Linked DNA regions of Macaca fascicularis. The protein of the gene in region 7 interacts with the protein of the main gene of each other region in a pairwise test. Links are inferred from orthologs where the notes say so. Each region holds a gene or a part of one and is shown on either strand. Other genes may lie near its edges.

The links.
Region 1: the proteins of CIB3 (region 7) and MEOX2 interact in binary tests that used the Homo sapiens proteins (3 or more experiments, as listed by UniProt). The two-hybrid records come from large-scale screens. The link is inferred for Macaca fascicularis from reciprocal best matches to the Homo sapiens genes CIB3 and MEOX2.
Region 2: the proteins of CIB3 (region 7) and ENOX2 interact in binary tests that used the Homo sapiens proteins (3 or more experiments, as listed by UniProt). The two-hybrid records come from large-scale screens. The link is inferred for Macaca fascicularis from reciprocal best matches to the Homo sapiens genes CIB3 and ENOX2.
Region 3: the proteins of CIB3 (region 7) and SERTAD1 interact in binary tests that used the Homo sapiens proteins (3 or more experiments, as listed by UniProt). The two-hybrid records come from large-scale screens. The link is inferred for Macaca fascicularis from reciprocal best matches to the Homo sapiens genes CIB3 and SERTAD1.
Region 4: the proteins of CIB3 (region 7) and GMCL1 interact in binary tests that used the Homo sapiens proteins (3 or more experiments, as listed by UniProt). The two-hybrid records come from large-scale screens. The link is inferred for Macaca fascicularis from reciprocal best matches to the Homo sapiens genes CIB3 and GMCL1.
Region 5: the proteins of CIB3 (region 7) and TACC3 interact in binary tests that used the Homo sapiens proteins (3 or more experiments, as listed by UniProt). The two-hybrid records come from large-scale screens. The link is inferred for Macaca fascicularis from reciprocal best matches to the Homo sapiens genes CIB3 and TACC3.
Region 6: the proteins of CIB3 (region 7) and KLF17 interact in binary tests that used the Homo sapiens proteins (3 or more experiments, as listed by UniProt). The two-hybrid records come from large-scale screens. The link is inferred for Macaca fascicularis from reciprocal best matches to the Homo sapiens genes CIB3 and KLF17.

The regions. Positions count from the first base shown.
Region 1 is NC_088377.1:114,505,943-114,510,291, forward strand, and holds the start of MEOX2 (homeobox protein MOX-2), read left to right. Parts: upstream 1-1,530; 5' UTR 1,531-1,809; coding exon 1,810-2,323; exon of another isoform or gene 2,324-2,370; intron 2,371-4,349. UniProt on the Homo sapiens protein: Mesodermal transcription factor that plays a key role in somitogenesis and somitogenesis and limb muscle differentiation. Required during limb development for normal appendicular muscle formation and for the normal regulation of myogenic genes.
Region 2 is NC_088395.1:136,951,130-136,954,678, forward strand, and holds part of ENOX2 (ecto-NOX disulfide-thiol exchanger 2), read right to left. Parts: intron 2,665-3,549; coding exon 2,431-2,664; intron 199-2,430; coding exon 1-198. UniProt on the Homo sapiens protein: May be involved in cell growth. Probably acts as a terminal oxidase of plasma electron transport from cytosolic NAD(P)H via hydroquinones to acceptors at the cell surface.
Region 3 is NC_088393.1:47,526,833-47,530,957, reverse strand, and holds the start of SERTAD1 (SERTA domain-containing protein 1), read left to right. Parts: upstream 1-1,314; 5' UTR 1,315-1,432; intron 1,433-3,991; coding exon 3,992-4,125. UniProt on the Homo sapiens protein: Acts at E2F-responsive promoters as coregulator to integrate signals provided by PHD- and/or bromodomain-containing transcription factors. Stimulates E2F1/TFDP1 transcriptional activity.
Region 4 is NC_088387.1:52,106,643-52,110,191, reverse strand, and holds part of GMCL1 (germ cell-less protein-like 1), read left to right. Parts: intron 1-2,351; coding exon 2,352-2,475; intron 2,476-2,860; coding exon of another isoform or gene 2,861-2,904; intron 2,905-3,549. UniProt on the Homo sapiens protein: Possible function in spermatogenesis. Enhances the degradation of MDM2 and increases the amount of p53 probably by modulating the nucleocytoplasmic transport.
Region 5 is NC_088379.1:1,881,857-1,885,405, forward strand, and holds part of TACC3 (transforming acidic coiled-coil-containing protein 3), read left to right. Parts: intron 1-87; coding exon 88-264; intron 265-1,075; exon of another isoform or gene 1,076-1,258; intron 1,259-1,654; coding exon 1,655-1,731; intron 1,732-1,841; coding exon 1,842-1,885; intron 1,886-2,620; exon of another isoform or gene 2,621-2,726; coding exon 2,727-2,887; intron 2,888-3,549. UniProt on the Homo sapiens protein: Plays a role in the microtubule-dependent coupling of the nucleus and the centrosome. Involved in the processes that regulate centrosome-mediated interkinetic nuclear migration (INM) of neural progenitors.
Region 6 is NC_088375.1:190,618,808-190,622,828, reverse strand, and holds the start of KLF17 (Krueppel-like factor 17), read left to right. Parts: upstream 1-1,184; 5' UTR 1,185-1,216; coding exon 1,217-2,030; intron 2,031-2,329; coding exon 2,330-2,568; intron 2,569-4,021. UniProt on the Homo sapiens protein: Transcription repressor that binds to the promoter of target genes and prevents their expression. Acts as a negative regulator of epithelial-mesenchymal transition and metastasis in breast cancer.
Region 7 is NC_088393.1:16,490,329-16,494,348, forward strand, and holds the start of CIB3 (calcium and integrin-binding family member 3), read right to left. Parts: upstream 2,847-4,020; 5' UTR 2,762-2,846; coding exon 2,711-2,761; intron 2,480-2,710; coding exon 2,445-2,479; intron 1-2,444. UniProt on the Homo sapiens protein: Acts a an auxiliary subunit of the sensory mechanoelectrical transduction (MET) channel in hair cells. Plays a role in regulating hair cell MET channel localization and function.

The DNA.
Region 1 (4,349 bases), on a different chromosome or scaffold from region 7:
GAAGCCACTATTCTACAGCATGACTTACAAGAAAAGAAGATAGTGAGGCTTAAGCAGGGGGACTGGAAGAGGAGGGGGAAGGTTCTGCTTTGGGGACACCTCTCAAAGATTAATCAATACTTTTTCCTAATTCAAACCAGATGTCTAGCCCAGTTTGCTGTACCCATTAATCCCACTAACAACTTCAAAGACCTGCTCATCATCCTCTGGACACCTGAGACAATGAAAATAACGGGGCGACACTGCTGGTGGTGCATTTGGGGCCCCGGGCGGAATAGGTGACTACAGATATTCTCCTGATGCGACAGGTCCCAGATGGGACTTGACTGTTTCTCCTGCTCATTACAGAGCCACTCACTTGTGTGTAAACGACTCTGCCCCCAGCGGACCCTGTCACCCGCCAAACAAGTGGCAGTCTCAAAGCCCTGCCATCGTTCTTGCATGCTTACTGGAGGCAAATTTTCTAATTTATTTTCACGGATGCAAAGTTATAGCCAAGTGCCCAAGCTTAGTGAATTTTGGGAGCTATCGAAATGTAAGATTTCTCAGTAAATGGGACGGTGGTGATAAGGGATGCGATTAGCGGATTTATTTTTGAGGGGAAGAGAGTGGATTTCTGTAGGAAACTGCGGAGACCTAGGCTAGCTCCTGAGGGGAAAGGCTAGATATGTGCGTGCAATCTACACATCTCATGTGACCGGGACAAAATCGCCTGGAAATATTTTTGACCCAGGAAAATTTCTTCTTGGTGGACAAGTGGCTAGGAAATTGAGCGGGACCAGGAAAGAGGGGGAAGGGAGACTCCACCTGGCATCGCACAAGAGGATGCCAGGGAACAGGCATCTGCAACCCTTTCAGACTCACGCCTTCCTCCCACCCACCCTACCGGGTCCCTCTTGGTTCCGCACTGAGAACTGCCTTTTCCAGGCCATGGTACTCATCCCCACAACCTCAGATCTGGCGTCCCAGCCCATTAACAATCCACCCACAGAAACCAGCTGTGAAAACCTAGGCGCGCTGCGGCGCCCAGGGCACTGGAAGATGCGAAGTTTGAAAAACTTCGAGGATGCGCCTAACTAGCTCTGATCTTTTCGTTTAACCCTATTACTTCTTTTGGGTTCCTGAAAGGCTAGGCATATCCCTAGCTTTTCTGCAGGTGACAGTTCACAAATGACACTGACAAATCACGATTCCCGGAGAGGAAAGTGAGTAGGTAGGAATCAGGGTGCTGGGTTGGGGGTGGTGTGCGCCGCGCCCAGGCCTCCAGAGTCTGGAGGGCAGAGCTGCTGCCCTCCCGGGCGGGACTTAGGCACTGGCGTGCCGCTTGTAGCCCTGGCAGCCGGCAGTGCTGGGCGGGCGTGGACGCTCTGCGTCTGTCCAGCAGGCGATAGGAAGTGGAACTGGGGAGCGCGTGGCGCAAACTGAGCGGGAGTTTTGGAGGGAGTTTGCATGTGGTCAACTCTGGGCTCCTAAGCCGGCCCCCAGCTCACGTTACACTCTATTTATAACCTCTCAGAGCCATTTCCCCCTGAAAGCAGTTCTCTGGGACCACCTTCTTTTGGCTTCAACCTCTCCCACTCTTGACATCTGAGTAGTTCAGGGAAGCTCTTCCAGGTCCGACTGTTCATATGCAAAGGAGACTGGTCGCTGGGGCTCAGAACCGGGATTATCCGAGCTCTGCAGAAGTGCACGGCTATTGCTTTGGGAGGGTAAAAAAAAATCATACGGTTTCCAGTGAAAAGTGACAGAGGGTGGTGACCTTTGGAACCGTCCTGAAGTCTTCTGCCTGGAACCTGAAACTTGCATGCTATGGAACACCCGCTCTTTGGCTGCCTGCGCAGCCCTCACGCCACGGCGCAAGGCTTGCACCCGTTCTCCCAATCTTCTCTCGCCCTCCATGGAAGATCTGACCATATGTCTTACCCCGAGCTCTCTACTTCTTCCTCATCTTGCATAATCGCGGGATACCCCAACGAAGAAGGCATGTTTGCCAGCCAGCATCACAGGGGGCACCACCACCACCACCACCACCACCATCACCATCATCAGCAGCAGCAGCACCAGGCTCTGCAAACCAACTGGCACCTCCCGCAGATGTCTTCCCCACCGAGTGCGGCTCGACACAGCCTCTGCCTCCAGCCCGACTCCGGAGGGCCCCCAGAGTTGGGGAGCAGCCCTCCGGTCCTGTGTTCCAACTCTTCCAGCTTGGGCTCCAGCACCCCGACTGGGGCCGCGTGCGCGCCGGGGGACTACGGCCGCCAGGCACTGTCACCTGCGGAGGCGGAGAAGCGAAGCGGTGGCAAGAGGAAAAGCGACAGCTCAGGTAAGGGCGCACCAGGCACCCTCGAGAGTGCGCGCCGGCCTGGAAAGGGGGCGGAGAGATGCCAGGGGAGATTCTCGCACTACAGGGTGGCAGCGGGGAATATGGGAATGTGTTGCCCTTTGTGGCTTCCCGCGGCCAAATTCGGCGGTGAAGCTTTGGTCCTGATATTTGGGGGACACGTGTTTATCCGAGAGCAATGCATATACAGCCAGCAGCTCTAAGCTCTCCAAGGTCCTAAACTAGTTTACCAGAAGGTTGATAAAAAAGGACAAGTGGCTGTGAAATCGATTGCGAAGCGTGACCTTCCATCCCAGCGCTGGGGAGGGAGGGGCGTGCGCCCAGAGATGCAGCGTCGGTTGGGCAGGCGTGCGTGCGGGTGCCGCTTCTTGACTTTTCTCTTGCAAGTTCCCGACTGTGAGTGGCTCGATTTTTCCCATCGTTAACTGGATTTCCAAATCATTGCACAATATTTGGAACTTGCAGTGGAACTTGGCAGAGCGCATGAGAAAAAAAAAAGTTTTAGTTTTTTTTTTTTTTTTTCTAACATTCTTATTTCAGCGTTCTTTAAATAGCACCCTATTTCAAATGGTAAAATTTTCCCTTTATTGGGGAAAAAGACATTATCTAGGAATTCAGATTTTAAGGAATGTGTCAGAGAATTGTAAATAAATAGATGCTCACATTGGAAGAAAGACGAACCTTAATAGTACATGTTCATGTGGTGTAAGCTAATTACAGAATCAACGTTTCAAAAGTGGAAAACAAATCCCTCTACCAAGTGGGTATTAGTAGAGACAAATACAGCGAAGCAACAGTAGCTCGGGTAGTGTTAGTTAGCTACGTGCCTGAAGGTGGTATGTAAGGGTGCGCGCAGGAGGCGCTGATTTTAGTGGGGGATAATTTGAGCAGCCACGGAAAAGGGAAACCTTTCTGACCTCTGGTACTTGAAGACACACTTGCCGAGTAACTTTTCTGTAGCAATCCAGAGAAACTCAAAGTTTTCCAGACCACTTTTCAAAGCTCTTACCTACCTGTATTATCATAAAATTGTTAAAAGATACTTTAAAATTAAGAGACTTGTGAGTTTTCTTTCGTGGCTATAGTGCAACCTGGATTGCATATTTTTGGAAGATATCATTTGTTTAATATAACATTTGCATATTTTTCTTCCTCTGCGGAATTGGGTTAATAATAGTCCTAGAAGGTAATCCCATATGTTGGTTTGAAGTATTGGACAAATGTTTATCGTGTATAAAGCTTTAGGTAAGATGCCACCTAAATGAAAATGATTGACCGCATATTTAATATTCCTTCACCCTTCACAGCAATATCAATTGTTATTCAGCAATCCTATGGGATGGATTCTTCTGTCATGGTCTCAAAAGCTAACTTTTATTTTCCAAGGTCAGGGGGTGAACTTTTAATGTTCTGTCACAAATTAGTTTTTATAAGAAAATTACCAGTAGTGTCACTGATATTTAATGTACTTTCCTAACTATAAGTGAAAGTCTCTTTAGATAGTGAGTTGAATGGTTAATCATAGCAAGAAGGTTTCAATTTGTATTAGAAAAACAGTCAATTTTAGAATGCAGTGACAATTTCATAAACCGAACATTTGATATCAGTGTCACTTTGGAAGCAGATCCCAGTTCAGGTTGATGAGAGTACTCTTGCAATTCCCGTAAGCTCTTACTGTTCATTTTATTTTTTGCAATGAGTAACCTACATGACAGATTGTCCTTTATGCTTCCTGAACTGAGCCATTGCTCTTAAGTTTCTTAGGGCAAACTGAATTTTCATACAAGCACATGTTATTTTGTTTGGGGGAAACCAAGAAAGTGGAATTCAGTAACTGATTCCCTTAATTTATTTTAATAATTTTTTTAAAGTGGAATAATTTAACAAAACGTGTTTATCTCTCCTCCTAACTTAGTGGGAAATAACCATTTAACAAAATTAAGTTCATTTCTACATGTTGAAGCTGATAATGAGGGTACTGGAAAAACAAGCCAATATAAGTGTTTGT
Region 2 (3,549 bases), on a different chromosome or scaffold from region 7:
CAGAAAGGGCCTGCTTGAACTTCTCCTTTGCTTCTTCCATATCTTTCTCATGGGCAGCTTTCTCGTTCACCAGGCGGCGGACATGGCTGTTGGCTGACTGGATCATGGAGTAGAAGTTGTTGGCGCTACGACGGTTGACCTCTCCTCGCTCTATCCAAGTGAGCAAGGTCTGTACAGCTTCTGAGAATTTGGAATCATCTGAAAAAAATATATTTTTATAACCAACAAAGGTAACCACATTTTGATCTATTTTCCCAACATGCTGGCAAAGAGGGCATCATGGTTTTTGGCAGTGGTGGGTAAATGAATTGATGAGGATGAGGAGCCACACATACACACATGTGCACACACAGGCAGTAGGCAGGCAGACAAACAGGAAGAATGGAAGGATCAATGCAGTCAGATTGGTTGTGGTCTATGATGAATTTTCAGAAAGAGAAATGTTTCCTTGAAAAAAGTTTTCTGCACTGATATATAGCTTTCATGTATTGCAAATCTCTTACCCTCTCTGTGTGTGTGTGTGTGTGTGTGTGAGAGAGAGAGAGAGAGAGAGAAAGAGAGAGAGAGAGAGAGAAGGGGGGCAGGGGGCAGAGGGGAGAGAGAGAAAAAAAAACATGAATTAGTGAGGGAACTTCAGAATTCTATAGTCCTGTGTTTTAATGAGGAAAAGCAAAGTTGAATCCTGAGTTTAACTCGAATTTGACAGTAACTTTACCTTGGATCCATGGAATTACAGTGTTGGGAGGAGCCTCAGGGAAGAGTTAAGTGGGTCATTCTTTAGACACAAACATGTACATCTTCAACCTTTTATAGTATCACTCCTGTGTTCAATCCACAGCCCCAGGCCTTCCACTCAGTCCCAGTCACAATTTATTTTGATGCAATTTATTTTATTTCTATATTTCTCCATATCCTCTTTTCTCTTGCCTGAAGAACCCTCCATGTAGATTTCTGCAGCTAGTTAGGAGTTATTCTGTGATTAGTTAAGATAGTTAAGAGCACAGCTCTTCCAAAGCTTCTGGTTCAGCTCCCCAAGATAGCCACTTACGCATTCTGTTCGTAAAGGCTCCAGAGAGGGAGAGCCCATTTGGATCTATTCAAGGGCTTCACATCCTTCTCTGGCTAGAAACCCTTATGTCAAATGGAAATTTCTTTCACTGCAATTTGAACTTCCTGCCTCTTGCCCCTTTTTCAGTGCAGACATATAACAAGCAATCAGCCTCCCCTTATAGCAGCTTTTCACTTTATTACTTAGATATAGACTTTATGTTGATGCTCAGTTTTTGCTTCTCTTGAGGGTCACACACCCATTAAATTCATTTTTTTTAAACTTAAACTGATTTGTTTGGTGTTGTGCAAATAGGCAAGTCTTGGACCTGGCAATCTTACCAATGCTTTCAGCCTTTCCAGTTTTTCAAAATGTACCATTATTTCTGTGCCTCTATTCTGGACTCTAGATTTTCTGCTTTTCCCTTAAAGAAAGTCAAAACCAATTTCTTACATGTGTGAATCCCTTAGGCTATGAGGTACAAACATGTCTGGTGAAGGAAACCTATTTGGAAAGTAGGATTAGCAGTATCTTGCTGAGCTGAGAGCACAAGAAGAAGGGAAAATTCATACCATTAGAGCTGGATTGGTGTTACCAATAAGATCAATGGGACACCAGCATTCATCCAATAAAATCATCTATACTCAGAAAATGAGAAAGACTGGATTTGAGCTACTAAGACAGGAGACCAGGCAGAGCAATTAATGTTAAATTAACAAAATGGCTGAGAGTCAAACAAGGGGAACAAGAATCAAAACTAATGGGAAAGCAGTCTGATTAAGCAATGTCTACATGTCTCCAGAGTCACTGTTTTAAATAAATTGGTCTTTTAAAGTGATTTAAAAGTCTTTACTTTTTAGTTGGTGGTGGCTAAGTCTTTGAGTAATCTAAGAAGAATGTACAGCATGACTACTTTCTGGACCTTAATTTTCTCGTCTTTAAAATGAGAATTTTACCAGAGTTTTTCAGGAACACATCAAATCCTATCATCCAGATTCACTCATTTGACTTGGAATTAAAACCTAACTTGTATCCACTATAAAAGAGGGCTCTTACAGGTTCCAAGTCACATAGATCATGCCTAAAATTCTCTGAAGTGGAAAAGTGAGGAAAACTTGTTTATTTCTAGCCGCCTGATGTCTGAAGAGAAAAATGCCATCCCTTGAGACAATGAAGGAGCAGAGACACAGGTAGTAGGGATACATTTCCTGGTTCTTGAGTTACTAGGTACACCCCTCTATCTGCAAGGCTTCAACACAAGAAATGCTTAGAATCCAGTAGTAGGAAACTCAAAGGGCAACTGTCAACAACACAATTATATTTATTACACTTCTCTAAAGGAAAGAGTTCTTTTAATCATGAAGCTTGAGTGCCTTTGATACCTTTTAATTTTTCAGCAACAATGCTGCATTCGTGATCTGAATAGTGGACCACTGGGGGTGGAGATGGTGGACGCAATCTTTCTTCTTCCATTCTTCTACGATGGCGCTCCTCTCTGGCTAGCATACGCTGTTTACACTCCCACTCATACAGGTCATCTCGAGCCTGTGCGAAATCAACATGGAGTCTGCCTGTGTCCTTCTTGTCAGTACTAGAGCCCAGGCGAATGCGGTAACCTAAGTTCACAGGAGGGTGAAAGGGAGAGGAGAGAGGGAGAGCGGGGGGTGGCGGGGTGGGGGGAGGGAGAGAGAGAGAGAGAGACATGAAAGACTATAAATACTTTTCCAAGTTCAGTGTTTCAGATGTCACTGCAGCAGTTCCAAGTGACCACACAACTCCAAATTCTCTCCGATGCTTAGCAAGTAAATCATCAAAAGACTTAAATTATCTCTGATAACAGGTCACATTCTATGGGTTGGGTTAGTCTTGTTCTTAAGAGTTCCATTCCTCCATCTAATACCTTACCTCTGGCTGAGGTTGACTCCGTGGGTAATAATATCAAGCATGATCCTTATATGGTACTAAGGGCTGGGAAGAATGGAAAAGGTGGCCTCAAATGAACTTGTCTTTAAATAAATTCAAGAGTGTCCATTATACTATCACAAAAATTTTGGTAAAACTGAAATGCATTAACTTGGCATTTTAATCCCTAAAATTGTTTCCTAGAAGCATTTGTCAACTGTGAACCATTTTTTTTTTTTTCTGACAAAAAAAAAAAAAAAAATGATGGGGAGTGGTGTGTGACCCACGTGACATATAATTTGGGATCCTTAAAAAAGAGATGTAGTGTGATTATAATATAGTAGTATAGGACTGGGATTCAGAAAACCAGTATTCAACTCCCTACCTCCTCTTTTTGTGCCAGCTATACTTACCCAAGTCATGTCTCTTAACAAAAAGTGGGGAAAAAACTAAGTACTTTTTAAGTTTCAAGAGCTCAGCTAGATACTTCCATAGGAATTTATCTCATTTCATTCTCAGCACAAGCTTGCAGGGTAAACATTATACCAAACAGAAAACTGAGCATCAAAAGAGGTTAGGGAGGTTAAGTGGCTTGCTCT
Region 3 (4,125 bases), about 31 Mb from region 7:
CTTGAACTAAAAGCTTGTCTTATTACAACAGCTATTACTGCTAACAAGGAAACGTGTTGCTAACCAGGCACGGTGGCATGTGCCTGTAGTCCCACCTGCTTGGGGGTCTGAGGCAGGAGGATGGCTTGAACCCTGGAGGTCTAGGCTGTAGTGAGTTGAGATGGCACCCCTACACTCCAACCTGGGTGACAGAGCGAGACCCTGTCTCAAAAACAAAATAAAATAAAATAAAAAGTAAAGAAAAAAAAAAAAAGGCAGCTGGGCGCGGCATCTCAGGCCTCTAATCCCAGTACTCTGAGAGGGCGGATTACCTTAGGTGAGGAATTTGAGATCTGCCTGGCCAACGAGGTGAAAACCCACCTCTACTAAAAATACAAAAATTAGCCGGGTATGGTGGCACACCCCTGTATTCCCAGCTACTCAGGAGGCTGAGGCAGGATGATTGCTTGAACCTGGGAGGCGGAGGTTACAGTGAACTGAGATCGTGCCACTGCACTCCAGCCTGGGCGACGGAGTGAGAATCTGTCTTAAATAAATAAATAAATAAATAAATAAAATGAAAAAAACACAAAACACATTGCACCCCACTCTGAGGATTTTGCATGAATTGTTTTATTTAATCCTTAAAACAATCCTCTAAACTAGGGGCTATTTTCTCTCATGTTAAAGGAGAAAAAGACCCGAAGGGATTAAAACACTTGCCCCAGGTCACACAGCTGCTTAGGGAATGGAGCCCGGGATGTGATTCCGCACTCCCACCTCACTGCCGCCCTTAACCACAATTAAGTCCAACTGTCCAGCATTGCTTGAGTGTGGTATTGTGTTCTTATAGATACGATCCTATTTAAACTTTCTTGTCAAGAGGTATGCAAGACGATCCCCATTTAACTTTGTGTAGCTTGAAGAGGTTGATCATTTTTCCAAGGTCACGCATCGAGTGAGTGGGGAATCAGGAGTCGGAATTTGAACCCGGGCATATCTGTAGTGTAGACCACTGTCGGGGGTGGATGTGTAAGAAGCTTAATTGCCGGGTTTGGCAGGTGCATGGGTAGTTGTCAGGGGCTCGTACTTTGAGAGGCAAAAGCTCCCACTCGCCACCGTCCCCCAGAGTAAAAAGCCACCTCTTTCCACCCCTCACTCGCGCAGCTGCCCGGGCATGCGCCCAGAAGCCCCTCCTTCAGAATCCGCCCTTTACAGGCTCCGCCCATCACCGTAGAGGGCCAATCCCTGGGGCGGAGGGCGGGGCAGCCACGAGAGTGGGCGGTCGCTAAGGGTAGTTAGGAGTCTGGAGTCGTGAGCCGAAGTCAGAACTGCGTCTCGCGACCCAGGCGCCGGTTGCTGGAGGAGAGCGAGCAAGCGATGCTGCCGCTGCCGTTTCCTGATTGGTTGTGGGTGGCTACCTCTTCGTTCTGATTGGCCGCTAGTGAGCAGGGTATGTAAATGAAGGGGCCTGGGAAGAAAAGGGGTACCAACGGCCGGGTCCTTCACGGAGTTCGATCCCTGGGTCCGACAGGTGCCCGCCGGGGCTGCCCGGGATCGAGACGCGCGGGCCTCTACGTGCTGTCTGCCCCGGCCGGGCCGGGTGAATCACGCCGCAGTCCGAGAAGGGGGCGGAGGCGCCGGCTCCTTGGCTCCGGCTGCGTGACTCACCCGCCCCCGCCGCCGCCGCTTCGGGAGGAGCCGCCTCCACTGCCGGAAGCGAGCGGAGGCCGGGCGCAGAGAACAGCCCGCCTAGGGTCCTGGCTCGCACGGCGCCGGGAGGCCTGCAGGAATCACAGCCGGGAAGGGGGGCAGTAGAAGGGGTTCTGGGGTCAGAGGGGCCAGAATCCCCAGGGGAAAGCCGGCCTGGGCACCGCCAGGGGGCGCCGGGACTCGGGGGCGGAGTCGGGGGTGGGGGCGGAATTCCTGCGGTTCCGGACTCCACGGACTGCGGGGAAGGGGACGAAGACCCAGTTTTGAGTAGTGTGGTGGGCCACTCTTAAAATCTTGCTAGGCAGGGTCCCGGAACTGGACTCTGTTCAGTCTTCCTGGCCCAAAAAAGTAGGTAGCGCCAGGGGTCCAAAACTCCATCCAGCCCTACCCCCGCCACTCCAAGAAAAGAGTGGACCCTCAAACTTATCTCAGTGACTGACCCCGGTGCCGATCACGATTTCTCGACAAGCCCTGTCTATTCTGCCTCCCAAAGAAATCCTGACTCGACCGACTTCCTTCCATACCCACTACCAGCTCCTGCTCCAGGCCATCACTATCGTCAGTCCCAAACCAGTACAGCCTACTAGTGGGTCTCAGATCCCCCCTCTTTTTGCCCCCTACAGTATTCCTCGAAGCAGCCATGGGGGGGATCTTCCGGAAACCTAATCAGCTCACACCCCCATTCCCTCCGTGCTCAAATTCCTTTAATGACTGCCCACCACACTCAGGATAAAATCCAAACTCCCTACTAATGCATATGTGGTTTTCTGTGACCTGGCTTGTGCCCATTCCCCCAGCCTCTGGGCTTTTCTTTGCCTTTTTTTGTTGTTCCCTCCTCCCGGAATGCTTTTCCCAGGGTCTCCCATGGCCGACTTCTCTGGCCTGAGGGCTCCATTCAAATGTCACCTCCTTACAGGAGCCTTCTCTGATCATCTAAAAGGTCTGCAGGACCTTTTAGTGTCTTCCTGTAATTCTCCGTACATTTCCTGTGTTTGCTTATTTATTTACTGTTTGAAACGTCATAGTAGACAATAAGTGTTAAACTATGTGAAACTAGTTTAGTATTTATAATATAACTTACTTAGATATAATTATTTATAACGTTATTATAATATATGAAACAGCTGCTTTTGTAGGGGAAAAAGTTGAATGGTCATTCCACATGGTTCACTGAAGAAATAATAATGTTATCATTAAGTGTACTTATTGGCAGGGCATGGCAGCTCACACTTATAATCCCAGTACTTTGGGAGGCTGAGGCGGGAGGATGGCTTAAGGCAAAGAGTTTGAGACCACCCTGGGTAACATAGTAAGACCTTGTCTCTACAAAAAATAAAAGGGGGGAAAAAAAAGAGTGTTTATTGATTGAGGGGGGAGGATCACTTCAGGCCAGGGGGTTTGAGACCAGCCTGGGCAATATAGTGAGACCCCATCTCTTTTTTCAGATTAAAAAGTCTATAAATATACTTAAATACAAAATTTAAAATTTAAGGCCGGGCGCGGTGGCTCATGCCTGTAATCCCAGCACTTTGTGAGGCCGAGATGGGTGGATCATGAGGTCAGGAGATCGAGACCATCCTGGCTAACATGGTGAAACCCCATCTTTACTAAAAATACAAAAATTAGCCGGGCGTGGTGGCGGGCGCCTATAGTCCCAGCTATGTGGGAGGCTGAGGCAGGAGAATGGCGTGAACCCGGGAGGCAGAGCTTGCAGTGAGTGGAGATCGCACCACTGCACTCCAGCCTGGGCAACAGAGAGAGAGACTGTCTCAAAAAAAAAAAAAAAAATTTTTTTTTAAAGTCTATAGGCTGGGTGTGGTGGCTCACACCTGTAATCCCAGCACTTTGGGAGCCAGAGGTGGGCGGATTACTTAAGGTCCAGGAGGTCGAGACCAGGCTGGCCAACATGGTGAAACCCCACCCCTACTAAAAATATAAAAATTAGCCAGATATAGTGGCGTGCGCCTGCAATCCTAGCTTTTGGGGAGGCTGAGGCACGAGAAACACTTGAACCCGTGAGGCAGAGGTTGCAATGAGCTGAGATCACGGCATTGCACTCCAGCCTGAGCAACAGAACGAGACTCTATCTCAAAATAATAATAATAATAATCTATAAATATACATATGCAATTAAATAAAAATTGTCTATATCTTTAAAGTTCCCTAGGAAAAGCTAGACACAGAGAGGTTAAGTGACTTGCCCAAGATCCTACCTGTAGCAACTGTCAGATCCAGGCTTTGAACTGAATATTTGTTTTCTATAACTGACTATAACTCCATAACTCCCTGCCCTCTGCAGATGCTGAGCAAGGGTCTGAAGCGGAAACGGGAGGAGGAGGAGGAGAAGGAACCTCTGGCAGTCGACGCCTGGTGGCTGGATCCTGGCCACGCATCAGTGGCACAGGCACCCCCAGCTGTGGCCTCTAGCTCCCT
Region 4 (3,549 bases), on a different chromosome or scaffold from region 7:
GAGTAAATAGATCTATTTCCAATGTACCTCTTCTTTGAGTAAGAAGACTACTAACTTGGTTATAGGTGGGGCATGCTTTGTAGAGCAGAGTTTCCCAAGCTTTCATGGATCACAGCACATTTCATGTTTTAGTAATTTTCACTCCTAGTCCAAAAGAAATAGCTCATAATTAGGGCCAAACAACCTAATGATAGCAGATTGCATGGTATCTGAAAGGTGTTACTGTGTTTCCTTCAAATTTAAAATATTCCACATGCCTCTCTGAGTTGGCTGTGGTGCTCTAAGTTCAGATGGTATCCTGAACTGGTGAATTTCACACAGAGTTTGGGAACCATGACTCAGGGTGAATGGATTGGGAGTGAACAGGCCACAGATTCTTTAAATTTCAGAATGAGGATTGCTTTGTCTGGGCACCAGCAGCTACACTACAGCCTTAGATCTTCCATTAGCTTTGTGCTGTTTCTAGAAAAGCCTTGGAATATTTTTGCCTCAGTATCTGTACTCTCCTTATCTATAATCTGTGTTCATAGAGTGGAGAAGGCACTAATTTCCCCATTTTCTGCCCCTCTTCTTTCTTCTGCCTTTGTTTCCCTGAGACCTCATCCTACTTTTCTCCCAAGGGTTCTAACGGGCAGATAAGCTTAGCCTCCATCCTAGCCCTCCATAATGTATTTTTTGGCTATGGCTTTCACTGTTCTTTTTCATTTGAATTTATTTTCTAACCTTCAGATCTGTGTAAATCTCTCATCAAGTGATGAGTCTACCCTTTACCTTTTCCTGGTGTGGACTTATTCCTTTTTGTACTCTTAATCTTTAATGTAATTTGGGGAGGGATGGGAAGCCAACATGTGTACATTCTGCTATCAGGAACTGGAAACTACATTGTCTCTTGATTTCTTATCATAATCAATGAAGTGGGTACTATTAATGTCCTCTTTTTACAGCTGTGATAACTGAACAGGGGGGCAGCTAGGACTCAAACCCAAGTCTGTTACCACTAAGGCATGTGCTGTTTTTATTGTTGGCTAGGAAGAGGTGTTAAGTACACAGGTGTTAAACTCACCGGTTCAGGATGTCATCTGAAACAATTACTTCATTTTAAAAAAGAGATTGAGGGCCGGGCGCGGTGGCTCAAGCCTGTAATCCCAGTACTTTGGGAGGCTGAGACGGGCGGATCACGAGATCAGGAGATCGAGTCCATCCTGGCTAACACAGTGAAACCCCATCTCTACTAAAAAATACAAAAAAAAAAAAAACTAGCCGGGCGAGGTGGCAGGCGCCTGTAGTCCCAGCTACTCGGGAGGCTGAGGCAGGAGAATGGCGTGAACCCGGGAGGCGGAGCTTGCGGTGAGCTGAGATCTGGCCACTGCACTCCAGCCTGGGCGACAGAGCAAGACTCCGTCTCAAAAAAAAAAAAAAAAAAAAAAAAAAAAAAGAGAGAGATTGAAAGTTTTATGTGCTAGGAAAGCTGTCAGAATTGGTCAGGAATTTGAGATATTGATCAGCCTCTGCCTAGAGCCTTTTCTTGGTTACTGGACCATTTTGAGCAATAATTTTCAAACTTTATTTTTTTAGTCAAGTTCTTCCTTTAAATTAAATCTGTGCAGAAATCCCGTATGTTTACAGATATAATAGGTGATGCTGCTCTGGTTCAAGTTAGATGGGATACTCACAGTTCACTCCTCAGCTCTCCTTGGTGGCCCCTAAGACTTCTCCTTTGAGCAGTTTTTAAAAACCTTTCATCTGAAATAAATAAATAAATAAATTTAAAAAACTAATAAGAAAATAAAATCTTTGATCTAAGGTTGCAAACCATTTGTCCAGCGGGAAGAAAACATTTTAAGTAGTTTAAGAATAGGTTGGTACCAAAGTAAGATTAAATGTAAATCATTTTAAAATTACTTGGGTAAGTGAAATGTTTACTCTTGTTCTCCATTTCCTAGTTGCAGATTATTGCACTATTTGAGTTCCTTCATAGTGCTGGTTTTTAAATAAGGAAATAAGCAAAAAAATCAACATGCTAACTTCTTAATCTATTGAATAGGTAATTAAATTAGTCCAAAATTGCTAAAATGTGTGTAGTGAAAAGTCTGCCTCCCATGCCGCCCCCATTTCTCCACTATCTCTCTCATGCATAGAGGACCCCAGAGATAACCACTATTGTTAATTTCTTATGTACTCTTCTAGACACAAGAAAATTTGAATATATACTCTCCCCCTATCCTTTTACACAATAGGTAAGTTGACTCTATTTAATAGAAATTGAATAAAAGGAGTATTTAGAAATATATGCAAAATCAGTAAAACATTCAATTTATATAAATATGTGACTTTTTCATTTCTTTTAACAGGAAAAAATTAAAGAGTACATCTAAATATATTTATCAAACATTATTTTTGAATGGTGAAAACAGTGACATTAAGATTTGTGCTCTAGGAGAAGAATGGAGCTTACACAAAATATATTTATGTCAAGTAAGTATTTTTTCTATTTGAGTAACAGAGTAATCACTTAAACTCTTAAATCATGTTCTTTCTCATTGCACTTCACAGTAATCTTTTGCATGAACACCATAGTGGTTAAATCCTCTCATTTGGTAAAATGTCTGTAAGAAAAATGGTAAGCATTGTTAGTGAAAACTAAGTTTGGTCTAGAAAGAGATTTTGAGATTTCAGTATCATACGAGCCTAATACTACGTATTTGTCATTACTTCATAAAGTGCTTTTTTCAGTGTCTTCTGTTGATAAAAGGGGAATAGTTGGGGAAAAATATTTAACATTAAAGTTAAGATCGTAATGTGTTTATTTTGCTTATGGTTATTTAAATTGGATAAACTCACCTGAAATGTTGCTTTGTAGTTCACATTGAGTGTGAGTGGAAAGTTCTCCCCTGGAAAATCCAGGTAAAGACAACACCAAAAAGTATATAGACTAAGTCGATTTCTGTACTGAAAATATTACTACTTGCACCCCACTTTAAAAATTCAGAACTTTCATAGCCGGCGTGGTGATGGGCACCTGTAATCCCAGCTACTCAGGAGGCTGAGACAGGAGAATTGCTTCAGCCTGGGAGATGGAGGTTGCAGTGAGCTGAGATCGTGCCACTGCACTCCAGCCTGGGTAACAGAGCGAGACTCTGTCTTAAAAAAAAAAAAAAAAAAAAAAAAATCAGAGTTTTCAAAATAGAATACAATGTTGCTCTAAGGGCCCAAATATTTTATTCCAGATATTGGTCTAGGCACTAGGAATAAAACAACAGTTTTTATCGTTTGGAACTTATATTTTTCCTCTTTACCATTTGAGAATAATTACTGGTAAGACAGTATAGTATAAACTTTTTCAGTAGAAGTATTTGGAAAGGAATTGCCTTCTCTAACATTTTAATCATGTTTTAAAATGTGTTTTTGAGACCGGGTGCGGTGGCTCACGCCTGTAATCCCAGCACTTTGAGAGGCCGAGATGGGCGGATCACAAGGTCAGGAGATTGAGACCATCCTGGCTAACACCGTGAAACCCCGGGCGCCTGTAGTCCCAGCTACTCGGGAGCC
Region 5 (3,549 bases), on a different chromosome or scaffold from region 7:
GCCTTTCCTTCCCCACCCCCCCAACGCCAGGTCACAGGCAAGAGGCAAGGGCGAAATGGGTTCCTGGTTCATCCCCATCTCCTGCAGGTGCCAGGCCCACCTCCAGGTGTCCCCGCACCTGGGGGCCCACCCCTGTCCACCGGGCCTATAGTGGACCTGCTCCAGTACAGCCAGAAGGACCTGGATGCAGCGGTAAGGACGAAGAGAGTGGCTATTCCACAGAACCTGCAGGCCACTCTGGGGCTTGGCCAACAGTGGGCACGGGTGGGGTCCAAACAGCCTGACCAGCCATCCCTGCCATCCCTGCCCCTGCTGGTCAGGGTGGGATTGCAGAGAGCTGCCGGCCCCTGGCCTGTCACTGCTGCCCAGGTTGCTGAGGGTCCAGGCTTCCACCCAGTGTCCCCGCAGTCAGCTGCCCACCAGCAGCTTCCCCAGGACTCTGTGGCCTGGGTGCAATGCTCACCTCTGGTGGCCTTGCAGCAGTGTGTGGTACTCGCTGATGTAAACCCAAGTGTTGTCCCTTTCCTGCTGCCCTCCCACAAGTCCAGACGCATCTCCTGGCAGGTTAGGAAGCTCCATCTTCACCCGCCCCACACCTGAGGTCCCCTGCCTTGTCTCCCTCCATCCTCACTGCACATGCCAGGCTTCAGCCTGTTCTAACTCCAGGCCTAAATTGTCCATAAGAGAGCTGTAGGCACGCAAAGGGGCTGGGTGTCTGCAGGCACCGCTGTGAGCTACTGCCACCAGACAGTCCCCAGGGAGGTGGGTCCCAGGGTGGCTCCGGAGGCCGGCTGGCAGGGCTGGGTTCAAGCCCCAACATCCATACCAGTGTTGCTCGCAGTGGCCCCAACTGCGATGTGATGCGGCCCTGACTCAGTTCCCCAACAACGCCCTCCCTGTGTCAGAGCCCATGCGAGGAACCCAATAGCAGGGCTGGGGACCACAGCGTGGCTGGCCCCCTCCTCTGCAGGCCTGGACTCCGGGGGCAGGTGGCCCCTGCATGTAACTTATATTAGAAATGCAAAATGCTTGTTCCCTGGTGCCACAAAGAAATAGCACTCGAATATAACTTTAATTTTCTCAGTAAGGCAGTTTTTATTTTCTGCAGAAAGCGTGCCCCTCGCAGATGGAACAGTGGCAAGAGCACACTTGAACAAGGGAGGGGAAGGGGTTCTTATTCCTGATGTAGGTAGCCCCTTCTGCTGTAGTGAGCAGAGATCGCGCCACTGCACTCCAACCTGGGCGACAGAGCGAGACTCTGTCTCAAAAAAAAAAAAAGATCTGAACATACTAACATACTGATTCTTTGAAGAGAAACTTGGGGTTCACTATATTTAACAATTAGGACCTCTGGTGTCCGCCACTGGGCTGCGGGGGTGGGTGCAGGACACACACCTGTTGGGTGCCTGCTGGTTCCACCCAGGATCACAGCCCGAAGCCCCAGGCCTCCTGCCCCCGGCAGTCGAGTGCATGTGGAGCAGGCAGCCTTGGCCTCAGCGGGTTTCCCAGGGTCCCACTAGAAGCCCTACATGGAACTGTGGCTCTGGGACATAGCTCCGGGGACCTCGGGTGTCGGCTGGCCCCATCCTGTGGGGAGGTCTTGGGAGGGTCAGTCTGGCCCACCTGCCTGCTGACCTGGGTGTGGCCCGAGCAGGTAAAGGCTACACAGGAGGAGAACCGGGAGCTGAGGAGCAGGTGTGAGGAGCTCCACGGGAAGAACCTAGAGCTGGGGTAAGGAGGCTACGCCCCCTGTCCTCCCCATCCCTGTTCCCGTGCGCATCTCCACCTGGCCTGGAACCGCTGGCCACCCGAGGCCATGGCTGTGTGCTCTCCTCCCACAGGAAAATCATGGACAGGTTCGAAGAGGTCGTGTACCAGGCCATGGGTGAGTTCCCAGGCCGCTGAGGGCACCCACCTCCAGGAGGAGCTGCCTATGCCCCACCCTGGCCCTGCCCCGTACCCTGCCTAGGGCCCCACCCTCCTGAGGCCCCTCTTCCTAACACACAAATCCCCTCAACATGGGCCCAGCTGTGGAACCACTGAGGCAAGTTGTGGGGAGATTGGTGGTAGTGAGGCTGGTGGCTCCCACAGAACCAGCACTTGTCAGGCCCCAAAGTTGTGCAGATGCTGAGCTAGCAGTGGGGCTGTGGTGGGAGCAGAACCTGTCCCGCCATGGCCTGCTCCACTCCACCCTGCCCTCACCGTGCGGATGTGTCTAGCATCAGCTTCTGTAGGTGTCTGGCAGGACAGGAACACCGGGCCCCACCCGGCCTCCCAAAAGCTTGGGCTCCTGGAGGTGCTACTGTGGGGATCTGTCTTAGGCTGAGTGTCAGCTGGGGGCAGGTGACTGCCTGGCCCTTGCAGTCCCTCCAGGACCACCACGACAGCACGACCCACAGCCTGGAGTTCGCTGTACCGGCTCCCAGGCCTCACCCTAGACTCAAGGATGTTGGGCGCCGCCTCTCTTTGGGGACCTCTGTTGCTGGGCCCTGGCCCAGGCTCCAGTTCCCTATGGATCTGATGTGGAGGAAACAGCTGTTTTCTGGGCCTTGCTTCCGGCCTAGGAAGACCCCGGGTGGAGGGGCTCATTGCCCTGCTGAGGCTCACACCCACTACCCACCTCTCCTCCTGGCACTCAAGCGCCTCGCCTCACTCCTTGGGCCGTCTCTGGCACCTAGCGTCTCGGTTGCCTCCTCATCCTGAACGTTTGTTTTTCTTTTCTCAAGAGGAAGTTCAGAAACAGAAGGAACTTGCCAAAGCTGAAATCCAGAAAGTTCTAAAAGAAAAAGACCAACTTACTACAGACCTGAATTCCATGGAGAAGTCCTTCTCCGACCTCTTCAAGCGTTTTGAGAAACAGAAGGAGGTGATCGAGGGCTACCGCAAGGTATGTTCCCGCTGCCCCGATGTCCTCACCTCGGAGGTTGATGGACTCATGGTCCAAGCCAGCGGGGCTACAAGCTGCTGTTTGCACCTTGGTCCTTGGCCAAGCCTCCCCTTGCCATGGGGGCATGGGATGACCTGTGAATGAGACAGGGTGCAGGAGTCACAGCTGGTTTGCAAGGCAGCTGAGGGTGGTGGGAGGCAGAGTGAGCTCTGCTGTTATGTGAGAGACGACTTGGCTATGATCAAACACCTGTGAGATTTGAGACAGTGCTGGTGCACCGGGGCCTGGAGCACTTCAGAAAGGGCGTCAAACCTGGGCTGTCTAAGCGCTTGGGTCCCAAGGGTTGGGGACCCAGGGCATGCAGTATCCAAGGCAGGAGGCCCATAGAAAGGTGGTCACGGCTATGCAAGGTCACCCTGGCGTCCTCCTGGCCATAGGACTCTGAGCGCCCTCCACCTTCTGTGCTGGGCAAGGCCCATGTGCTGCTGGAAGGAGGGATGTCTGGGCCATCCATCTGCCTGGAGCAGGCCTGGAAGGTACCTGCGAGGCCACCAGAGGGTTCTGCCCACAGCAGTAGTGTTGGAGCGGAGGTGCTCAGTGTCTCCTGTAGAGGAGCTGGACCTGTGGGTGCAGCTGGAAGAGGGCCTGTCACCATTGGTGCA
Region 6 (4,021 bases), on a different chromosome or scaffold from region 7:
CAAGTGATTCTCCTGCCTCAGCCTCCCAAGTAGCTGGGATTACAGGCACACGCCACCATACCTAGCTGATTTTGTTTTTGTTTTTGAAATTTCTGAGCTCAAGCAATCCACCTGCCTTGGCCTCCCAAAGTGCTAGGATTACACAGTTGTGAGCTGCCGTGCCTGGCCTACTGACAGGTTTTAAAAACATGGTTCTTGGCTCCTATCCTATTTTAAGACCTTCTACCACCAATCTCTTTCCTACCCTTCATGCAAGTCAGTCATCGAGGGATACTGCCCCTGACTTCCAGACAACCCCCATCCCTTTTTTTAAGAAGTGTTTTTGTCATATCTGCCTTTTCCCCATATCTCCACCAATGCTTGATCTCCGACCTGCCCAGGCAGTTCCCACTCAGGGCAGATGCTCTTCCATAGGCAAATATTTGCAGATGATGTCTAAGTTTTGCTAAAGCCAAGACCCATCTGCAGCCTCAATTCCTTCTATCTTTGTGGCTTTCTGCACCCGTTCTGCTGGTTTAGGATGTTCTTTCACTTTCACACTTATGTATAATTTGGAGTTTGGGCTGGGCGCGATGGCTCACGCCTGTAATCCCAGCACTTTGGGAGGCCGAGGCAGGCAGATCACCTGAGATCGGGAGTTCGAGATCAGCCTAACCAACATGGAGAAACCCCGTCTCTACTAAAAATACAAAATTAGCCGGGCATGGTGGTGCATGCCTGTAATCCCAGCTACTCAGGAGGCTGAGACAGGAGAATCACTTGAACCCAGAAGACAGAGGTTGCGGTGAGCCGAGATTGCGCCATTGCACTCCAGTCTGGGCAACAAGAATGAAACTGTCTCAAAAAAAAAGAAAAAAATAAATTGGAGTCTGAACATTTTCTCAGAGTTTTGCTGAAGGTGTAGGTTATGGACTGTTTTATTTGTTCTCTTTGTTGCTTTGTGTGAAATAAAAACCAAAAACATGTCCGAGAGAAAGTGGCATGAGTTACGGCTAGGCTTCTATGGGGCTTGTATCAGCCAGACCGCATGTGAGAAAGCCCAAGCTGGAAAATGGTCTGGAGGCAGGATATTTTTCAAGCAAGAGATGGAAACAGAGGGCTGGATTAGGATGGGGTCTGGGAATGAAGAGGAGGGACATGTGGAACTGGAATTTGAGCAAAAATCACCTGACTCTTTCTCCCCAAGGATAACGAGAACTCAGCGCCCATCTTGAACATGTCTTCATCTTCTGGAAGCTCTGGAGTGCACACCTCTTGGAACCAAGGCCTACCAAGCATTCAGCACTTTCCTCACAGTACAGAGATGCTGAGGTCCCCCTTGGTGTCTGTTGAGGCGCCGAGGCAGAATATGGATGAAGGAGGGCCACAGTTCAGTATGCCACTGCCTGAGCGTGGTGTGAGTTACTGCCCCCAAGCGACTCTCACTCCTTCCCAGATGATTTACTGTCAGAGAGTGTCTCCCCCTCAGCAAGAGATGATGATTTTCAGTGGGCCCCAACTAATGCCCATAGGAGAGCCCAATATTCCAAGGGTGGCCAGGCCCTTCAGCGGGAATCTAAGGATGCCCCCCAGTGGGCTGCCAGTCTCGGCTTCCACTGGAATCCCAATGATGTCCCACGCTAGGAACCCTCCAATGCCTTACCCTGGCCTCTCGACAGTGCCTTCTGAAGAAACATTGTTAGGCCCGACCATGCCTTCCACTGAGGCCCAGGCAGTGCTCCCATCCATGGCTCAGATGTTGCCCCCACAAGATGCCCATGACCTTGGGATGCCTCCAGCTGAGCCCCAGTCATTGCTGGCTTTAGGGTCTCAGGACTCTCTTGTAACTCAGCCGGACTCTCAAGAAGACCCATTTCTACCAGAGCAGCCCAGACCTGCTCCACAGACAGCAGAGAAGAACTCCAGGCCTCAGGAAAGGACTGGTAGAGGGGGCTCCTCGGAGGCAAGGCCTTACCGCTGCAACTACGAGAACTGCGGAAAAGCTTATACCAAACGCTCCCACCTGGTGAGCCACCAGCGCAAGCACACAGGTGAAGGAGGTGTCAGGTGGGGTGGGGATGGAGGAGTCTCTGGGCTTTTGATTTGTCCTGGGACACTGGTGGGTAATTGTTTGGGATGAGCCTTTCCTCTTCCAAGCTTGGAACTAAGCTAGACTGGCTCCCCGACTTGCCATACAGGAGGACTGGGGTGGGCACTCCTGATTATGTTGCCGCTCCCTGGTTCCCTGGACCTTCCCTTTTGAATCCTCAACCTGGACTGCTCTGCCTCAGAGTCGGACCCCTTCCTTCCTACTCTATTCTAAATTCCATCTCTCCCTTGTCATTCCCAGGTGAGAGGCCCTATTCTTGCAACTGGGAAAGTTGTTCGTGGTCTTTCTTCCGTTCTGATGAGCTGAGACGACATACACGGGTACACACCAGATATCGACCATATAAGTGTGATCAGTGCAGCCGGGAGTTCATGAGGTCTGACCATCTCAAGCAACACCAGAAAACTCATCGGCCAGGACCCTCAGACCCACAGACCAACAGTAGAGAGCAGGACGGTCCTCCTGCTGCTGGTCCTTAGGTCAGTCTCCTCTCCTCATTCTGGCTTTTTCCTTTTTTTTTTCTTTTTTTTTGAGATGGAGTCTCACTCTGTCTCCCAGGCTGGAGTGCAGTGGCGCGATCTGGTTCACTGTACCCTCCACCTCCCAGGTTCAAGTGATTTTCCTATCTCAGCCTCCCGAGTAGCTGGGACTACAGGCACGTGCCACCATGCCTGGGTAATTTTTTGTATTTTTAGGAGAGACAGGGTTTCACCGTGTTAGCCAGGATGGTCTCAATCTCCTGACCTCGTAATCTGCCCACCTCGGCCTCCCAAAGCGCTGGGATTACAGGCATGAGCCACCACACCCAGCCTCATTCTGGCTTTTCTACACAGATCTTACCTGCCTCTGGCTAGATCTTCTCTTCAGCAGGTGTAGGATTAGATGAAGATAGGAAGATTATGGGTCAGTGTTGAAGCCCACACGAAGTTCTGCAGCCAGTTAGAGACTCCTCAAACCTTGTCTTGGATGCTGTTAACCTCTCTGGGGCCACCTGCTTCTGCTGGAGTTTAGTCAGATGGGAATGTGGAGTACAGTAGAGATTGGGAGCTTCATTTAAAAGCTCTTGATTTCTTTTTTTTTTTTTTTTTTTTTTGAGACGGAGTCTTGCTCTGTCGCCCAGGCTGGAGTGCAGTGGCCGGATCTCAGCTCACTGCAAGCTCCGCCACCCGGGTTTACGCCATTCTCCTGCCTCAGCCTCTCCAGTAGCTGGGACTACAGGCGCCCGCCACCTCGCCCGGCTAGTTTTTTGTATTTTTAGTAGAGACGGGGTTTCACCATGTTAGCCAGGATGGTCTCGATCTCCTGACCTTGTGATTTGCCCGTCTCGGCCTCCCAAAGTGCTGGGATTACAGGCTTGAGCCACCGCGCCCGGCCTTAAAAGCTCTTGATTTCTTGTCGCTCTCCAGCTTAAAACCCTTTAATGACTCCTTCGCTTGCTACATAAAATCCAGTTTCCAGAGCCAGACTATTTTTAAATCCTGAATTTGCCACTTAATATCCTTGTGACCTTGGGAAAGTTCTTGGATCCCTATGCCTTGTTTCTTCTTCCAGAAAATGAAAAAACTAGTTTTGGACTGTATTGGACATGGCACATATGGCATCAGATTCTCCCTGGCACTCACTGGCCACATACCCAGAGTTTCTGTTTCTTCCCACCATTTCACAGACTTGGATGGAATGCCCTAGCATAGGGCATGGGATCTGGCATCCCAAGTTGCTGCTAGCAAACTTAGAAGTATGGGGAAATTTATTTATTTATTTGAGACAGAGTCTTGCTCTGTCACAATGGCTGGAGTGCAGTGGTGCAATCTCAGCTCACTGCGACCTCTGCCTCCTAGGTTCAAATGATTCTCCTGAGGCAGAAGAGCCTGGATAGCTGGGATTACAAACACACGCCACCACGCCCGGCTAATTTTTGTATTTTTTGTAGAG
Region 7 (4,020 bases):
CAAGCATTCAGAGAATCCTCTATAATCCACACATCTCTGGATATCGTCATGTTATCAGCAAGACCCTGCCTCCAAAGATACCTTCACTTTCATACATTCCGTTCCTCTCCTCATAATGGGAGGAAGGGGCTGGGTGCCGTGGTTCACACCTATAATCCCAGCACTTTGGGAGGCTGAAGTGGGCGGATCATCAGAGGTCAGGAATTCGAGACCAGCCTGGCCAACATGGTGAAGCCCCATCTCTACTAAAAATACAAAAAAGTAGCTGGGCATGGCGGCAGGCACCTGTAATCCCAGTTACTTGGGAGGCTGAGGCAGGAGAATCACTTGAACCCGGGAGGAGGAGGTTGCAGTGAGCCGAGATCATGCCACTGCACTCCAGCTTGGGCAACAAGAATGAGACTCCATCTCAAAAAAAAAAAAAAAAAAAAAAAGGGGGGGGACGGTTTCCTCAAACGGGTCAGAGCAGAGGCACACAGCTAATATTCATGTTTTTCTAAAGGGCAGACAAAAGGCATTTTGCAAATAACTGAATATCACACACACTATCTAGATTGTAAGGCCAGTTCTCCACTCAGATGCCCTCACCTGGTGACACCATACCTTCATTAGGGCATGCTGAGCAGCAGCCTTGCAGAGACCATCCTTGGTGGGTCTGAGGTTCCCAAGCTGCTAGGGACTCTCTCTGAGAGAGACACGAGTCCCTGGGTCATATGATGACTAGGAACTCAATGAAGGTAGGGTGGGGAGACCTAGAACTTCCCTCCTGACCACTCAGTTCCCTGTCGGGGTCCCCTCAGGGAATATCCTGGGTTTAGGTTTCTGTATGGCTCTGAGCAAGTTCCTCTCCCGCTCTGTGCCTTGGTTATTCTATCTGATAAGCAAGAAGTTTGGGACAGACGAAATGTCAGCCTTCAACCGCCTTGGGGCTCTGTGCATCTACCCTTCAGCCTGGGGTCAGCCCTACCCTGTCTGAGCCTCAGTTTCCCCATCGGTAATTTGATCATGATGGCCAAGGTGACCCTGCAAGCTGTCCTCACCCAGACAATGGGGCTCACGAGTAAAAGGTGTGGCCATCAATAATGGATGTCCTGTTACTACACAATTGGGGCCTCGGCCCCGATCACACTGCAGCCGAACCCTGGCCAGCTTGGGTTTCACAGCTCCAAGTTCATGGGCCGGGGCCCCTGGACAATGGCCCCACAGGCTGAGTGATGATATGGGATTCTCATCTGTGCCCATCGTGCTCGGTCACACCAGGGACATGCAGCAGCCTTGGGCCACCTCCCCATACCCTCACCTTAATGCCAAGCCCGCAACCCGTAGTGGGCTCTGGACTTTGCACCTGGGCTCCCAGCCTCAAGTCCCAGTCTCAGGAGAATCTTTATCTTTCATTTTGTTTTTTTGAGACGCAGTCTCGTTCTGTCACCCAGGCTGGAGTGCAGTGGCGTGATCTCGGCTCACTGCAACCTCCGCCTCCCAGGTTCAAGCAATTCTCCTGCCTCAGCCTCCCGAGTAGCGGGGATTACAGGCGCCCACCACCACGCCCAGCTGATTTTTGTATTATTAGTAGAGACGGGGTTTCACCGTGTTGGCCAGGCTGATCTTAAACTCCTGACCTCAGGTGATCCACCTGCCTTGTCCTCCCAAAGTACTGGGATTACAGGCGTGAGCCACCGTGCCCAGCCTCAGGAGACTCTTTCTAACAAGCTGATGCTCTCTGCCCTGCTCATGCATGCTCCATGGCTCCCTGCCACCCTTGGGAGAAAGCCCAAGCTCATCAGCCTACAGACTGGGACAATATGACAAGATGTGACTTCTCAGCTTTTCCATCTCTGCCTCCATGCACTGACCACACCTGCCCCCCTTCCCCATTTGAGTCCCATCAAATTGGAAATACCAGTTGGGCATGGTGGCTCACACCTGTAATTCCAGCACTTTGGAAGGCTGAGGCAGGTGGATTGCTTGAGCCCAGGGGTTTAAGAACAGCCTGGGCAACGTAGTGAGACTCCCATCTCTACGAAAAAATACAAAAATGAGGTGCACATGGCGGCTCGCACCAGTGGTCCCAGCTACTCGAGAGGCTGAGGTGGCAGGATCACCTGATCTTCGGAGATCGAGGCTGCAATGAGCCGCGATTGCACCACTGCACTCCAGCCTAGGCAATAGAGACCTATCTCAAAAAAGAAAAGAAGGAAGGGAGGGAGGGAGGGAGGGAGGGAGGGGAACGAAAGAGGAAAGAAAGGGAGAAAGAGAGAAAGGGAGAAAGGGAGGAAGGGAGGAGGGGGGAAAGGAGGAAGGGAGGAAGGGAAGAAGGGAGGAAGGGAAGAAGGGAAGAAGGACCATACACACACACACACACACACCCCAAATTGCAAATATCCTCCAGCAATGAATAGAAAGTTGTTTTTCCAGATCTTTTCTCTCCACCTCCCTGGACTGACCTCATGATCTCCTTCCTTGTGAAAAACGTGCAGTCCTGTGGAGAGAGGTGTTGTCTTAACCCAAACCCTGCCTCTGGGGCCTCCTCCCACGGCCTCCTCCCTCCACCCCACACTCACACAGATGGCCCAATGCTGCCACACACAGAGCCGAACGAACCAGGAACCCAGGCAGACGGTACACCCGGATGAAGGGATTCTGTTCCCACTTCCCAGACCACGGAACCAAAGCTGTCAAACCCACTGAGGACCCCTCCTGACCCCTCTACCTGATACGCTTCCAGCTGCTCGTGTGTGAAGACTGTCTGCTTGTTGCCCATGGTGTGAACCACAGCCCAGACTCGGGGATGCACGCTGAAGGCTCCCAGCTTCCTCGGGGCCACACGGGTTGCCAGGCTGTTGTGTACCAGTGTCTGGGCAAATCTCCCTGCCCTGGCTGTCACCCGCCCACCCACACCGTCACCCCCTGCTTGGTGAGACTCAAATTACAGCCAGGCTCTCTGGACAACAGCCTGAATGTGTCCATGGGTGAGGATGAGGGCTGTGGGACATCACAGAGAAGCCCTCAGTGGGGAGGCCACATCTGCCACCACCAGGTGAGGCTGGGGTTACGGGGCACACTCAAAAGACAGGGAGGGTATACGGAAGGGCTATGGGCACACGCCAGCTCAAATTCCAGCTCTCTGCCCACTAGCTGTGTGGCCCTGGGCAAGTCACCTGACTTCTCTGAACCTCATTCATGAGATGAAAATTACATTATACCTACCTCATATGGTCATTCTCAGGATCTGAGATTTAAAAAAAAAAAAAAGATTTTGGCTGGGTGAATTGGCTCATACCTGTAATCCCAGCACTTTGGGAGGCCGAAGCAGGTGGATCACCTGAGGTCAGGAGTTCAAGACCAGCCTGGCCAACATGGCAAAACCCCGTCTCTGCTAAAACTATAAAAATTAACCTGCTCTTGTGGTGCATGCCTGTAATCCCAGCTACTCCAGAGGCTGAGGCAGGAGAATTGCTTGAAAACGCAGGAGGCAGAGGTTGCAGTGAGCCGAGATCACACCATTGCACTCCAGCCTGGGCGACAGAGCGAGACTCCATCTCAAAAAAAAAATTCGGTTTTGGTTGGGTGAGGTGGCTCATACCTGCAATCCCAGCACTTTTGGAGGCAAAGCATGAGGTTCGCTTGACGCCAGGAGTTCAAGATCAGCTTAAGCAGCATGGCAAGGCCCTGTCTCTACTAAAAATACAAAAATTAGCTGGACGTGTTGGTTCATGCCTGTGGTCCCAGCTACTCGGGAGGCTGAGGTGGGAGGATTGCTTGAGCCCAGGAGTTTGAGGCTGTAGTGAGCCGTGATTGCATCACTGCACTGGGAACATGAACAAGCTAGATGAAGTTCTGGGGTGCGCATTGATGTTATTATTATTATTTTATGATGTTTTATTTTTTTGAGATAGAGTCTCACTCTTGCCCAGGTTAGAGTGCAGTGGCATGATCTTGGCTCACTGCAATCTCTGCCTCCTGGGCTCAAGCGATTCTCCTGCCTCAGCATCCCAGGTACCTGGGACCACAGGTGTGCAC